3 linked regions of the Schizosaccharomyces pombe genome follow. The gene in region 2 interacts genetically with the main gene of each other region. Each region holds a gene or a part of one and is shown on either strand. Other genes may lie near its edges. The genes, in order: orb6, pkd2 and ace2.

Region 1 (5,428 bases), 3.2 Mb from region 2:
CCTTCATTCAAGCTTTCTTAGTTTTCTATGTTACGTATAGTTTATTTGGAATGAAGGAACTTAATGACAACAATATCTTCGCTTATGGTCAACTCATTTTTACTGCTGCTATTTTTATCATGAATTTCAAATTGGTCTTTATAGAGATGCAATACATAAACATCATTTCTATAATAGTACTTGTTTTAACGTCCTTGGCTTGGTTTTTATTTAATATCTTTATAAGCGAGCATTATCCGGACAAGAATTTATATCTTGCTAGATCACAGTTTCTCCATCATTTTGGCAAAAATCCTTCATGGTGGCTTACTATGCTTTTTGTAATGGTTTGTGCTTTAACAATTGATATTGTTGCCCAAATGTTACGAAGGACTTTACGTCCTACGGACACCGACATATTTGTGGAAATGGAAAACGATGCCTTTGTCCGCTCTCGGTTTGAGCAAGAGAGCGGTGAGTTTTTACAAGCCAATGCACCATCTGTCGATGAAATTGAACAATATTTAAAAAGCCGAGATTAGGCATTTAATTCATTAATCCAATTCTAGTATATGAAACTTTCTTTAGACGATAGTCAGTTTACTGGTAAAATGTTAAAATTCTGGGGTTCCCACTGTTCAATTAGAAATTGTCTATTAGTTATGGGTCATGATCCGCATTTCATAATTATTGTTTACTATTTTGGTTGGTTTTCTTGGCGTTAACATCCTGTTGTACTTATTAATACATGTTTTTTACTCACTCTTTTTTATCTTTTCCCTAATAAAATCTATGCATTAATTTGGAATTCTTATGCAACGAATTTAATATTTACAGAAGTGCATGTAAGATTTTATCAGTAGGGACAACATTAAAAAAAAGTAATTGGTAATATTATTAGTTATGCTAAAATAATGTAAAAGAAGGTAAACATGAATTAACGATAAAAAAAATTCGATAACAATAGTTAGATGCTCAAAGGACAATGAACAAAGTAGCTATGGAGTTTCTTGCAGAAGTCTTACAATGCTCCTTTCATCGTTAAATAATTGAATTTTTTGTAAGTGTACCCAAGGAATGCCAGATTGGTTTGTTCCAACGTCTGAGGGTCAACAGAAGCAGGTTGTTGTGTGACAGGTTGTTCAGGAACTTGTTCAAGCTCATCAACAGGGAAATAATGTGTATCGGTAATAGATTTCAAATTCGGAATAAATGGAGCTGCAGTTTCTCGTATATGATCCCAATCGATTCCAGTAAAGAAAGGATGTTGCATTATTTCAATAGCACCGCCACGACCTAATCTGTGTTCTGAATCTGTCATAAGTCGGTCCATCAAATCACGAGCTTCTATGCTTAAATGTATATCATTTGGGAAAGTCAGAGTCTCACGCCAATTGATGATTTTTCGATAAGTTTCATGAGAGTTTTCACTGCAAAAGGGAGGCCATCCAATTAAGCACTCGAACATGATAGCGCCTAAACTCCACCAATCACAATCTTGACCATACCCTTGTTGCAAGAAAATTTCTGGAGCGATATAATCAGGAGTACCCACAGTGCTATAGGCCATCACCCTACGGTTCTTTTTCCAAGTAGCCATTTTGTCCTTGGAAGACATTGTAAGCCAGATAGCATCTACCATTTGACCACGTTTGACAGTATTTCCTGTGCGAGGTTTCATGTAAGAGGCACTCTGATCTTGCTTGTAAAAACCAGTGGAAAGTCCGAAATCAGAAAGTTTTATATGGCCATCCCGGTCAATCAGTATGTTATCCGGTTTTATATCCCGATGAATATAACCCATTCGATGAACATCAGCTATAGCCAAAACGCACTCAGCCATGTAGAAGCGAGTAACGTCTTCTGAAAAAGTATCATAATTTATTAGCATGGTCATCAAATCACCGCCTGGTAAAAACTCCATAATCAAGTAAAGATACAGTGAATCTTGAAAAGCATAATACAATGACACCACCCATGGGGAGTCAGATTCAACTAATAAGTCGCGTTCTGCTTTGACATGAGCCAGCTGGTCACGTTTGAACATTTCAGTTTTAAGCAAAGATTTCATGGCATAGATTTTACCCGTATCGAGTTTCTGAACCAACCGAACCTATTTAATTAGATACCAAAAACATAAACAATTATGCAAACGTACCTCGCCAAATGCACCTTTCCCAATAACTTTGATGGTAGAAAAATCTTCTAAAGAAAGCCGTGTACGACGAAATCGAAGAAATTGAGACTCTTTTTCACCAGATGCTCTTAACTGCCTATTCTTTCTCTCCTCAGAACCCCTTTCGGTTGCTAATCGTTGCTCCAAATTGATACGTCTAAAGAGAATTAGTATTTATACCTAAAAGTAAATTAAACGGAAGCTAGCATTATTAATTAACATTTTCGAAACAAGATGAGTAAGCTGTCTAAGATTTTATAAACATTCGAGATTATGCATTTACTGCAACACGCGAAGTTGAGAACGGAGAAAGAATTAATAAAAGCATCGTCTTTGATACTTATCCGATCAACGTATAAGATGGGAATACTAATTGAGGAATGTGAAACAATGCTAGAACCCTGAATAGTAATGCTACTCGTACCTTTGGTTGCGCTCTACAGCATGATCAACTGCCACCTTGTAATAATGTTCAATATATTTCTTTGTCTTTTGGACTTTGTCTAAAGTTGATTTCGGAAATAATGAAGGGTTCCGTTCAAAGTGTAAGTAATCATTCTTATCCATATTGAAAGAAATGTTGCAATAAATGGAATTTTTACACTAATTAGAATCAACTACAAGGTCAACGAATTAATTAACAAAAAGAAATTGTTAAAAGATTGAAATTCAATCGCTTAAAACATGAATTAACAAGACATGCAAAACAGAAATGAGACAGTGATAAATCGGATATGGTAAATGACAAGTCCTATTATGCTTTTTTAATTATAGGACTACTGCCAGCTAAGGTATAATCCGATAAAAATATGTTAAACTGCGATACTGGAAAAGCAAGTACTTCTGCAGTTTGTTATATAACTTCAACGATCGCTTGCGATAAGCTCCGCGCATTTCCTAACCCTCCCTGTTCAATATTACGACGCTACTAACTGAAGCCAAGAATCTTAGCTTACGAAGATTTTAGAATCTGAATTGAAATGAATAGTCAAAAAAGACGGACGGAGACATCAATTCGTTCTTCACCATAAAAATATTTGTGTAATAAAAACTAAAGGTGGTGGATCGAACTCTACAGGAATAGTTATCTATTTAATTTGGTGTTTACTCTTCATTTAATAACTTCACATTATTGAAACTCCCATTTAAATATTATAGACAAACAAGTAAACAAAAAAAGCCTAACCGATTTGTATCCAAAATGCAGCTAGCCAAAACGTTGACAATTTCACATAATTTTCAAATCTTTTTTGTGTTTATTTTTTCGAAACCTGAGAAATATTGTCTATATTAATAGGGGTATGTTTAAATGCGCGTTTGCCAGGTCCAACTCCATAACTACTTGCAACTTGACCATTTCCTCTAAGTTGGTACTTGTAAATAGTTAACCCATCAAGACCCATTGGTCCTCGAGCATGAATTTTGTTGGTGCTGATGCCAACTTCGGTACCGTAACCATAACGAAAACCATCGGCAAATCTGGTTGAAGCATTCCAATACACACCAGAAGCATCAATTCCAGCCATGAATCTGTTAGCAGCTGCTTCACTAGAAGTGATAATGCAATCCGTGTGTTTAGAACCATGTGTATTTATATGCTGCATTGCGGACTGTAAGGAAGGTACAGTCTTAATAGCAAGAATCAAATCAGAGAATTCAGTGTTGTAATCTTGATCGACAGATGGTTCAACTAGAGCACTAACTTTTGGCATATCCTTTAAAACCTTAAGAGAAGCGGGATCACATTTTAATGTAACTTTTGCTTCAGTTAAAGTTTCAGCAATTTTAGGAAGATGAGAAGATAAAACAGCTTCGTTAATTAACAAAGTTTCAATTGCATTACATGCTGCTGGATAATCAGTTTTTCCATCCAGAACAAGTTTACTAGCCAATTCCATATCAGCATCCTCATGGACGTACATGGAGCATAGTCCTGCAGCATGACCTAAAACAGGAATTTTTGTGTTATCTTTTATATGGCGTACAAGATTAGTGCTGCCGCGGGGAATAACCAAATCTATGTACTCATCCAATTTTAATAATTGTGATACCTCCTCGCGACTCTGAACAAGCTGCACAGCAGCCTGTGGAACCTTACTTTTGCCCAAGGCAGAGCGAACAACATTAGAAAGTGCAGCGAAAGACTTTGCTGATTCCGTGCCTCCTTTAAGTACAACAGCATTACCAGATTTGATAGCCAGGGAAGTAATATTAATGATTACTTCAGGTCTAGCTTCAAAAATGACTAGCAATAAACCTACAGGGCAAGAGACTTTATAAAGGTCCAAACCATCGTCAAGACTACGAGCATAAGTAACACGACCAAGGGGATCAGGCAAACTTTTAACATCTAAAACACCCTGTACCATGGAATCGTATTTATCAGATGAAGACAGATCCAATCTTTTAACCATCGATGAACTTAGTTTTCCTGATTCAGCCAAGAGCTTAGCTGCTTTCATATCTTCAGCATTTGCAGCTAGAACCTCTGACTTTTTTATGCGCAGTTCTTCAACTATTTTATCCAATGCATCATCACGGTCTTCCACTGATAATGTCTGTAAAATGTTAAAAGCGTTTTTCGCTTCCTTTACATTCTCTTCAAGAGACATGCTAAACAATACTTATACAACTTTGAGTAGAGGCAATTGGGAGATTTAAATCAAGCGAATTCTTATTCTTAGAATGGCTAGCTCAAAAAGACTACTTTTTGTAGTATTTTGGTTGTTTTTTCTAATGTATGAATAATGCAAGTTCGTGATTTATTTAACACCCTTCAAGTAACAAAATCAAGCATTGTTACTTTACATTAAGCATAACTAAGATTTCTGAAAGATACGAAATCATGGAAAGTGAGAGTACTTCTGCAGTTAACTAAAAATATTTTGCAACCTCAAGAACAGTTAGTGTTATATTTTCAGTTTTTGTTTTTCCGTTACTATATATAGTAGCCTTACTTTTCACTTTTCACGTAGTGCAAGAATTATGCTTGTAAACAAAAGACTAAAAAATGAGCAACTGGGTATCTTCGGTTAAGAAATACAAAGATACTAATTTTAAAGTGTGCTTTGTATATTCCATAGAGAATTTGGATTATTACACACTTCGTATTTCTCATGAATAAATTATAGTCATATCGTAAAAGCAAAAACATTTATTAGCATGGTGTCCAGTTATTACTGAATCAATTTGATCTAGTTGTTTTTAATTCAAATTAAAGATGCTTCTAGTTGAAATGCACAGCTCAACAAACAAAATTGTTTGTTCATCTTT
Region 2 (6,111 bases):
CCATCCACGCTCTTTGTCTTGAGAAATAGCTGATGATCTTTGTTTTGAATAAACATCAACGTGATTCTTCTTATTATAACCCGCACGTCGTTCTTTTTTGTCTGTTCGTCCACTAGCACCAATAGTGATATTGACGTTTGGAGGATGAGCAAAACCGAATGATTTAGCAACTTTTGCGAGATCCAATTTATTAATATCAAAGATAGATTTTAAAGAATATGAGGCATAGGCCTGCAAGTAGGAACGGTATCCATCCTTTGCAGACTGCTGCAAATAATAATTTTTGGAAACAAGCTTTTCGAGCTGAGATTGAACATTAGCAACTTTATTGGCAGGAAATTCAAACTCATTCAAAGAAACCTTGGCAGTTTTCAAATAACGAAGGAAACCGAGCTCAGAAGGAGCGAGGAACATAAGGGATTTACCAGTTCCCTTTGTTCCTCTAGCTGTACGACCTACACGATGAATATAATCTCGGGGGTCATCAGGAGGATCGTACTGCACGATCCAGTCAACGGCTGGAATATCTAACCCGCGTGCAGCAACATTGGTGCAAAGTAGTATTCCCTTTTCGGCATTGCAGAATTCAAAAAAGGTGTTTGTACGACGCTGTTGCTTTTGCTTGCCATGAAGATCAAGTACTGGTAAATCTATATAGTTCAGTAATTCTGCCATATATTTGACAGAAGCACAAGATGACATGAAAACAATAACTTTTTTCTTCAAATTGCGTTTTAAGAAGGAAAATAAAAGAAGAAACCGTTTGTCAGAATCAACTACAACATAACCTTGCTCCAATCCTTCAACGGTAGAGGTAGGCTTACCAGAATCAACGTTAACATACAAGGGTCCGGGCTTAAGAGAGATACGAGCAAGATCTTCAACTTTAGTTGTCTGTGTAGCAGAAAACAGGAGGGTTTGTCGATTTTCCGAGGGAAGGATTTTCATGATTTGTCTCATTTCGTCCTCAAAACCAATCTCCAAAATTCTGTCGGCTTCGTCAATCACTAAGGATCGTAAATTGCGGAATACAAATCCTTTGGTATTTTGCAAGTGATCCAGTAAACGACCAGGAGTAGCAACTAATAGGTTAACACCTTTCACCAATTTATCAGCTTCAGCACGGCGATTAGCACCGCCAATGACGATACCAAATGTTTGGTGATGGTATTTCAACAACTCCTTTGCGACACCAAAAATTTGAAGAGCCAATTCACGAGTAGGAGATATAATAATAACACCAGTACCATTACGAGGCTTAAATTTCAATGCATAAAGCATTTCAATGGTAGGAATTAGAAAAGCCAAAGTTTTACCACTACCAGTTTTAGCTGCACCTAAAACATCACGACCGGCCAAAAGAGGAGGAATAGAGCGCTTTTGAATTTCTGTCATCGTTTCAAAGCCCATTTCTTTAATTGCCTTTTGGATGTTTTCAGAGAGTTGTAGGTCTGAAAACTTTTCAATATCCGAAGTGGAAGAAGCGTTCAGGTTGACAGATTTTTGAACACGCTCATCTTCATTTTCATTATCTAATTCCTCACTTTCTGATTCTACTGAAGTATTTTGGTCAGCATCTTCATTTTCCTCTTCCTGCTCGTAATCGTCTTCGTCTTGAGGAAGTTCTTCAGCAATTTTTTTATCGTTTTTTAAAGGTTTTTGACGTTTTTCTTTTACTTCCTCATTACCCGATTGATGCTTTTTCCGCTTTAACTCGGATTTAGCCATCTTGTACAACGAATGCAGACTACTAATGAGTTTGGGAATTTGCAAAATGCTTGTATGAAAAATGGAAAAGTGGAAAACTGCGAAATGTATACCGCCGTAACGCAACGTGTCAAATCTATGCAGCAAAGTAAATAGCAATATTTAACGATATTCTTTTCATTCAACTTTCAAATGTTAAACAATTATAGTGTTCAAATTCGATTGAAATTCCTAATCTAAAGTTAGTGTCTTTTAATAAACATTTCGCTATCTATACTGCGTACTATGTCACATTAGGCTTAGTTTTACATTATGATATTTTAAAGTAGCTGTGGTGAATTTCTTTATGAAAGAAGTTTTGCTAAAATGACTTTTGTTAATACGTTACGAGTTGATTAAGCGTCAATTGACACTGTAGAATATAAAAATTATCTTATAAAAAAAAAAGAAAGGTCTATCGTACTATTAAATCCTCAATTACCAGTTATTTACTGGTTAGTGTGCTGGTAGTTTTCCATGTTAAATGGCTGTGATCTAAGGTAACAGGTACCGGGATTTGTCTCTAGTCATCACTTGTCTTGAACGGGTTGAGAATCTTTGATGATAATACAGCCACCCAGAGCAAACTATATTTTTGTTAATCATTCCCATTGTTATATATCCCTCGATTTAATTGGAATTAATAAGTTTTCAAATCTAACTTAATTTAAGAATAATAATAACTGGTTGTGGAGAATTTTAGCTACATTTGAGACTCAGTTACATTGGAATTCACAGTCTGTCTTTTCTATTCATTAATATCATCTTTTGACTTCACCTTCCTGTTTTTCCATTAATCAACTGTTTCTCACTACCATCAACTGCAAAATGAGGCTTTGGAGAAGCCCACTTTTACTCTTAGTTGTGGTCGTCGAGCTATTTTCATGGGCTGATGCTTTAACCAGATTCATTTCCGCCGACTCTCTGTCCACATGTATGACTGATTCACAGTTATCAGCAAGTAAGCTCTATGCCTCGTATTTTCCGGACAATCAATCTGTTGCCTTTGATATCTCGATACAATCTCTTGTTTCTACGAATGTCAGTATAGACGTCGACATTAGTGCATACGGAATCGAAATAAAGAAGGTGATAGATCCTTGCGATATGGAAATTTCTGGCTTCTGTCCAATGCAGACTGGAAATATTGCTTTATCTGGTAGTCATACTTTAACCGGAGAGGCTCTTTCTATTCTTGATAGTATTCCCTCCATTGCATACACAGTTCCGGATTTAGATGCTGTTGTGACTATTAATATTTATGAATCAGATACAAACACACAATTAGCTTGTGTTCGTACTACAGTGCAAAATGGTCGTTCTGTTTACCACAGAGCTGTTTACTGGGTTATGTGTATGGTAATCGGTATCCCACTTTTAATTTTCTTACTGATATCCCCTGTTCTTCAAACACCCGCACTTTGGGAAATCGTTGAAACGATGATTACCTTATTTCAGTTTGCTCAAATCCAGGCTTTGTATTCCATGATGGCTACTTCTCTTCCTGCTATCATTTACAGTTGGGGCCGTAATTTCATGTGGTCGATGGGTATTATCAGGATTGGCTTCATGCAAGATGTTTTTACATGGTACGTTAAATCAACTGGCGGCACGCCATCTACTCTTGTAGATTTGGGTATACATGCTAATGTCGCCCTCGCAAAACGTGGTATTGATTTGGGCTCTCTCGCCAAGCGTGCAACTACTACTGTCACCACTAGCACAAGTGATTCTATTACCCTGAGGGGAATCAAGCGTATTTCATATATGATGGGGATTGAAACGACGAATTTCTTTGCTACTGGGTTTTCCTTTTTTATTATATTGTTGTTCTTTTCATTACTAGTTGCTATGGCTTCTAGATTTATTGTTGAAATGGTGCTCCTTGCATCCAGAAATCAAGCTTTGAAAAAGCAACGTATCCGTCTTTATTGGAAATCTATATCCAAAGGATTTTTCTATCGTGTGATTTTTGTCGGATTCACTCAAATGAGTGTTTTGTCCATGTGGGAAATCTATACTCGTGATTCTTCCGCTTTGGCATTTTTATCAATGTACGTGATTGTGGACATGGCAGTTTTGCTCTGCTATGCATTTGTGCGGACAATTCAAATTATCCGCAAAACAGGACCTTATTCCCATCCTGACGTCTTGTACAACCTATATTCTGACACTCAACACTTGATGCGTTGGGGCTTTATGTACGTGCAATTAGACGTCCGTTTCTTTTACTTTACTTTCCCACTGTTGCTTATAACCTTGGTACGCTCAATGTTCATCGGTTTTGGTCAGGGCTCACCCAAAGTCCAGGGCTGTGCCATGTTTGGTATTAGCGTTGTCGTTTTTGCTCTTATGGTGATTCTCCGACCTTATGCCACTAAACACATGAATACTTTGCATATCGGTGTTGCTTTAATGAATTTGATAAGTGGTTCTTTTATTTTAGTGATGTGTCAAGCTTTTTATGTGGAGGAATTAGCTCGTCAAGTTATTGGCATTATATTTTTTGCATTGAACGCTATTACAATGCTTCTTTTGATCCTGGGTATATTTATACGTACACTTATCGTCCTGTTCCGTAAATCAGGACATGGTACTTATTACCGTATCCTCGATGACCAAAGCGAGAAGGCTACCTCGTATAACAAATCTATTAAGGATATGAGCTCTTCCGACATGGCCTTCTCTGATCCGGCTTACTCTGGAACTACGTTGAGAAGCTCCGTTGACCTTAATACACCAGAATATCCGTTTTCGAATCGTAATGATTCAGACAGTACGTTCACAAATAACAAATATGTTTCCCCTTGGGACGCTATCGAAGAAGCTTCGTATGCCAACCTTCGTGGAAATACTGACGTCGAACAACCATTTATGGAATCAGATTATACCCGCATCTCTGAAAATAATAACAACGCTGAACGTCGACGCAAACCATTACCTAACAATGCTTTTCGTTAAACGTGGATGGAAAATGTTGTGTCGTATTACATATATATTACATTCCATCTACCTTACACATTCTTTCATTATTATACAATTGTTGTCTCTGAGATTTTTTTAAACTATAATTTTCTACAAAGTTTGGGGTAAAAGACCTTTAAAACAATTCACACAAGCATTCTTACAATGAACTCGACGAGGAGGTTCAATAAGCAATCAATGTCTAAATCTTATTTTTAGACAAAAGTCAACTATTTAGTGTATTCGCATCCTTTTTTTTATTTATGGTTCTTTTTTTAATTATATTTCAGAATTTTCCCTTCATTTCTGCTTCTTTTCTTTTATTCCATAATTGTTATAGTGTATAGGTTTAGTTACCATTTAAGCATATTTGTTGGATGTGCATCAGAAAGCAAAAAAACTTCACCCGTTTGATTAAAATGCAATTTAGTAAAAAACATTTACTTCTGATTCAAGTTACTTCTTCACGTCTTAAGATAACTGATAATAGAAAACGACGTTTATTAACATTTTATTGAAACAATCTATAGACACCGGTAAGAATAAATCCATAAGCCATTCCCAAAATACCGAATCGTTTAAGCTTGTAATTGGGTGTATTCAAAGGAATTCTAGATTGCGAATAGGCATATATTCCTAGACCTGTGAAAGCGCCTGCGCCCACCAAGCGGCATGGCAAGCAATCGTACTGTTCAAACCTTGGATCGTCTAAATCGACGGGTTTGGGAGTTTGTTGGAAACTTGATGATGGCATCATCGAAAGCTATCAGTTTAATTTATAAACTATAAAAAAAAAGTAACCGCGTAAATATATATGTGTATAATTAAGAGGCCACACAGCTTTCAACCACTTTCACTTTATAAACAAGATTAAAGCACTAAAAGGTAAAGTTTACTCAACCCGCTTTTTCTTTTCTTGTCAACTACAAAATGAAATGTCAGCGATCAATAATACGGTATCCAATTTGATAGATGTTCAATAATAACGACTCAGGACTTTTTTCTCTTTCAATTTGTGGGAAATCTATAGGGCGCGCTGTTCAAACTGTTTAATATATTGGTCTTATGTTCTCCAGTACTGAAATGAATCAATGGCAAAAGTTAAAAGAGACAAAGTAGTGAGTTAAGAGCTAAGTTATAGATCTACTGAAACCGTCTGTTTTATTTTAACTATGAAGAAGAATAAAAGAGGCTAAAGTTACATTTCATTTTTGTATATTTGTAGATCTGCTACCGGATCAATATTTTTTTGGGCGATATAATTTTAGTAAAATTAAAGTAGGATTTTATTGATCTCGAGAAATAAGAGAGCAAACAAAACGACGATAGAAAGAAAGAGCATCGTAATATTGCTTTATTACTTCAATCTGACATGTAAAATTATTTTTCGGCACCAAAAAT
Region 3 (5,146 bases), 980 kb from region 2:
GACAAAGTACGTCCGTCCTCGAGTTGCTTGCCAGCAAAGATCAAACGTTGTTGATCAGGAGGAATTCCTTCCTTATCTTGGATTTTGCTCTTGACATTGTCAATAGTGTCAGAGGATTCAACCTCAAGGGTAATGGTCTTACCCGTAAGGGTTTTTACAAAGATCTGCATCGTCAGCAAAGTATTGCCTCTTCCTCGCGGATGGAGGAAAATATTGATGTTGCATTGTGATATATGGATGCGTGACTGGTTTTAACTCACGTAGGTTAGGGTGTAACGCAAGTTTCTCGTACTGAGAATTAACGTTTGCGTTAATTATATAACACAATTTAACATTTCTCACAATTTTTAAAATCGTAATGCTGAAATGAAAATCCTGATTCCCTTGTATTAATATCGACAGTTTGTCACTAATTGATGTCAATTATATCCTATTGAATGATTCATATATGGTGATTTAGTGTAGTAAAGGCTTGTAAACCTGTGATTTTGTGTTTGCATAAGCTACGACGAGTTTTCGTATTTTTTGGTTCTTTGCAAATAGAAATGAATTATCTTTTCTCTTGCCGACAAAATTTCCTCCAATGACCAGCAATAATAGTTAAAACAATCATTGGTTTCTCTGTTTAAGTCATAGTGATTAATTTGTTGAATTATTATTATCATAATAAATGCTTGCTTGGCAGCATACTACAACCACTGTTTTCCAATGAAATACTTCGCATACTATAGTAATTAAATACAAGTTTTCCCTAGAAATACCAACTTAAACATATGTTGACTAAACATCGGTGCGAGTGAAAGCAAACACTAATTCTTACTCATGTATCCAAGTTGTTTGTCAGGTTTGGGGAAACTAGTTTTACCATTTCAGCCGTTCAACGATACGAACAACTTCATAGTTGTATTTCCATTTCACAAAGATTAATCTGTAGATTTTAGATGATGCAGAGTTATACACAATACTAGGGTGATGAATAAATATACAAAAGACAGATACAAGTTGATAAATTATCAAAATTGTCACAGCATTAGTTCATGTACGATGCTTGAATTTGAATTTATATAAAAGCAAATTAAAAACAATAATATTAGTAAAATTAAAAAATCCCAAAAAAAAACCAAACATAACTCATTATAATGCAATGCGATGCAAGTTGTACAGCTGTCATCATTAGTGCTGTCTGCGATCTACGCCGCCAACACATATATTTCTCTGCTTATGCCGATTTAAGGCATCAAGTCGGTTAAATCTCTTTAAGCATTCACATACATATGGCCTGCCATTTTCGTGAATCCTCAGATGACGCTTAAGATCGTGGTGACGAACAAAGCCAGCTTTGCATAAGTCACAGCGATACGGACGGTCGCTCAGATGTGTTTGAATATGCGATTCAACATTATATTTGCGAGCAATACGTTTATTGCACCCGTTGTACAAACAGACGTACTTTCCATCTGCTTCAGGGCCGCAATATAAGCTAGCCATTGTCTCCGGAGGAATTCTACAAATCCTAGTTGATTGCTTGCGAGTTTTGCATCTATGATCGTATGAAATTCTGACCGGAGGTTTGGAATCATGCTCGGTGACTTGAGGAGTAATTGATAAATCAGCAGATTCAATTTTTGGAGCTAATTGTTCTTCTTCCTTGACAGTGATACAAGGTTCAGGTTTCTTGGTAACTATGCAAGATTCATAAGGTGCACTTAATGCAAACTGCTGTGTCAAAGTGTTGTTGATATTTGCGTTCGATATGTCAAGTCCATGATCGCAAACGGATGAGAATTTTTCAAATTCAGAAACGTATTCAGCAGGTGATGATAACTTTGCAAACGCTTTCTGGTTGTCAGTATGCCTGCATACATCCAAATGGGAAAACGAAGAATCTAGAGCAAAGGAGGGCTTTTGAGGCGAAGTGGGCTCTAGCTTTACAAGTTGGGCAAATGGGGATACAGGGGAGATATTAGGTGCAGTCTCTGGACTCGATAAGTCTACAGGATGTGCCGGACTTGGTTGGGATATTTGAAAGTTCAATTCTTCAAATGAAGGCGCACCGTTTATCTCATCTAATCCAGGGGGAGAGGATGGGAGGAACATAAACTCATTAAATGATTCCAATTGCGAAGAGCTGGGAAGAACGGAAGAGGCAGGACCCGAGGTTTCAGGTATACTTGAGGAAAGGTAGTCGAAATTTTCGAGGTGATCTTTGTTGGAGCAAGTTTCCGTCTTTATTTCTGGTATGTCAAACTCAGGAAACGAAAGGACTTGTTGTTGAGAGTCCAGCTCATCAATCCAATTTGATGCATCATAACCAATTTCGGAAAAGGCCTGTTGAGAGTTGGTCAAGGAAAATGCGTCATTGTTATTAAAATTTTGCTCGGTATGGATTTGTGATACGCAAGTTAAAGGCGAGGAAGGGGGTGATAAGGAAGCATCAAAGGAGGATGCATACGAGTGAGAGTCGGGGAGCGATATTTGGTTCGATAAAAAGTATGCAGAATTCGCTTCCAACAAAGGGTTAAACGGTGTTTTTAGAACAGAACTATAGTCAAACTGATCTTGAAAGTTCTGAAGATGAGAAGGCGGTGAAGGGATAACAGCTTGATTTAAAGACACCTCATTTTCAAAGGGAGCGAAGGAGGAAAAAGAAGTATGCTTGCTATCGCCAAAAGTTTCATAATCCCTTTGGTACGAATGATTACAAGCTGGACTCTCTTCTTGTCGAAATGATTCAAACGACTTTTGCGAAGAAGATGATAAATATGAAAGCGACATTGTCTTGTTTACTTAGGATAGCGAGTATCTAGTGCAATGCGTAGAGAAATCAAGGAGAGAACGATGAGAGAAATGACTCTTGAAAAGAGTGCTTGATAACTTGAAGTGAGATGAAAGTGTGGCTCAAAGCCAGTCTAACCCAGTAGATGATTGAACTAATCACTCTTCGATTTTTTTTTGTTTGTTACAGCAATGTTTGGTGCGCTGGCTATTTGTTTATATCAAATAGCTACTCCGTTGCTATGACGACAATTGTTGAATTTTATGCTTCACTTTACCGCAAAACAAGTCACTATTTGTTTACATTGCATGGATTACCGAACCATATCACAACAACGCAATACAAGTGTAAACACAGACCCAGGGATTGTTTATTTACCTTTTGTTGCCAAAGGGACAAATCAACTATTTTTTGAATTAAACCAGTAAAAGGTTTGATTGAAAGACACTACCACTAATAAACAGGATAATCACGGCTATGAAAATGTCTACGCTTCAACAACTGGATCATGGATGATATTAGAAAACATAGATTAAGTATGACAAGCCAAAAAAAAACGGTAACCAACCTGAAAAAACGACAACGACGTTGAGATCAAAAACCTTAAGGTATTAGTATTAGTATAGAGCTAGCAAGAGAAAAAATGCCATGGAAAAGTTTTTAAATGCAATGAATAAGTTACTTACAACACTGACAATCAAAAGGGCAATCCGGTGTACCTCCACCTTGGCCAATGTTTAATTCCTCCTCGTCATATACAAGAAACCCTTCCTCGGTACGCTTTCCTAAAACACAAAACGTTAATACAATTACTGATGATAAGGAGAAAAGTGCCGTTGCTAGGTAAGTATTGCATCGTTCGGCAAACATTCCCGTAAACAGAATAGCGAATAAGGTTCAATACCACACAATAGAGCTTAATGATTTGGAGTCTCCACCAACACTAAACATCATTGTGAAATGTATCTCCCTAGAAAAACGTAATCTAGCTCTAGCAGTATATAATAAATAAATAAGTATATAGCACAGTTCGAAGTTTCTCAATCTTTTAGACAATAAATATGAATTTGAGGTCAAAGAATTGACAAACAACGCGGATGCCAAACATGAACGAATGCAATCATTAACCAAGTAGCGAGAACGTATGTAAGGATGAACTATCAAACGGCAAAAAGTGTCTTACTTCCTGAGGCTCCCTTTGGATCTAAAAATAAATCGTCTTGGTTATTAGTAGGTTTTGGACGACTTGGAGTAGATTTTGTCTTGGCTCCTTTCTTAGGGGCTTTCGCCTCCGACTTTGAGTCATTTGACTTTTCATTTGCAGGGTTTGCCTTTTTAGAAGCAAAAATGTCGTCGATTTCCATCTTTTAAATACTCGTAGAGAGGAGTTTGCCAAGTCAATGGCAATTGTATAATTGAGTAGAGAGACAGTTTGTTGTAGCTTGCAAACTTGCTAGAAATTCTTTTGCGGTACCGTGCTTCATAAAATAAGAATTCTCTAAAATGCTTAAATCTGCATAACGTATTCTCTCGTATTACGGTAAAGAATTTGTAATATTTATAAGAATGATTCTTCAGAAGAAACTTGTACCAGCATTAAGGCATGAGATTGATCGATTCCTTTTTTTTCCTTTGGTTCTTTATTATGTTTAAAATTGTTTAATTTTGTTTAGAAGCTGTATCACCTCTGTCATCGGTATTTCGAAACGGCAATAAAATGTAGACAATTCTTTGGCCAAGCTTTCTTTATAAAAGCATATTTAGGTCAACTCTATCCTAATACCATAAATTAACACTTTTTGTCTTCATTTAAGAAGCGAATTATTGCTGTATCAAATTAACAAATGCAAAATCTCATTGCTTAATAAACGAAATACTTTAGTAATTAAGCATAAGATAAAAATAAAGTGAATACTATTTGACAATGAAAATCAGCTCAAAACCTCTGTCAATTCTTTTTCAGCCTAGAAACCACCTTAGAGAAATAAGGCAAAACATTTGAATACAAATATACAAAACACAAATTATTAGTGGTAGAACAATTCAAAAAATTCGAAACCTCTTCTTCAGTTGATCAATTCATAATTAGAAATACAATTCCTTTTACAAAGTTTACTTCCTTACTCTGCAAAAGCGCCTCTATACATAGCAAACCGCAACAAAATTAAATACCTATATTACCTAAATTAAAAACATAACTTTTTTTTGACCAACAAAATGCCATGCTTAAATTGGCGAGACGTAAAAATGCCGTGCATTTCAATTTAACCAATGGAAACCTTTTCTCCTTCAGACTTTCACTCTTTTAGGACCGGACTCAAGCTCTTCATCATTTTCAGTGCTGCGCTTCTCCCCCAAAGGCTGAGTATT

What was found.
Region 1: mutations in pkd2 (region 2) and orb6 impair growth when combined (synthetic growth defect), as found in Schizosaccharomyces pombe (one study listed by BioGRID).
Region 3: mutations in pkd2 (region 2) and ace2 impair growth when combined (synthetic growth defect), as found in Schizosaccharomyces pombe (one study listed by BioGRID).

What each region holds. Positions count from the first base shown.
Region 1 is NC_003424.3:1,005,733-1,011,160, reverse strand, and holds orb6 (serine/threonine protein kinase Orb6), read right to left. Parts: upstream 2,899-5,428; 5' UTR 2,723-2,898; coding exon 2,580-2,722; intron 2,313-2,579; coding exon 2,138-2,312; intron 2,093-2,137; coding exon 1,001-2,092; 3' UTR 843-1,000; downstream 1-842. Other genes in the region: dnf1 (P-type ATPase), read left to right, coding at 1-521; gamma-glutamyl phosphate reductase Pro1, read right to left, coding at 3,412-4,767. UniProt on the Schizosaccharomyces pombe protein: Interacts with pak1/shk1 and coordinates cell morphogenesis with the cell cycle. It is essential for maintenance of cell polarity and is involved in mitotic control.
Region 2 is NC_003424.3:4,217,427-4,223,537, forward strand, and holds pkd2 (plasma membrane TRP-like calcium ion channel Pkd2), read left to right. Parts: upstream 1-2,324; 5' UTR 2,325-2,574; coding exon 2,575-4,707; 3' UTR 4,708-5,221; downstream 5,222-6,111. Other genes in the region: ATP-dependent RNA helicase Has1, read right to left, coding at 1-1,728; protein tam6, read right to left, coding at 5,222-5,467. UniProt on the Schizosaccharomyces pombe protein: Acts as a key signaling component in the regulation of cell shape and cell wall synthesis through interaction with GTPase Rho1.
Region 3 is NC_003424.3:3,238,193-3,243,338, forward strand, and holds ace2 (DNA-binding transcription factor Ace2), read right to left. Parts: upstream 2,962-5,146; 5' UTR 2,776-2,961; coding exon 1,174-2,775; 3' UTR 1,040-1,173; downstream 1-1,039. Other genes in the region: ubi3 (ubiquitin-40S ribosomal protein S31 fusion protein), read right to left, coding at 1-170; SPOM_SPAC6G9.01C (uncharacterized protein), read right to left, coding at 3,371-3,378, 3,463-3,561, 3,960-4,140; RNA-binding protein Nop9, read right to left, coding at 5,066-5,146. UniProt on the Schizosaccharomyces pombe protein: Regulates the transcription of genes required for cell separation.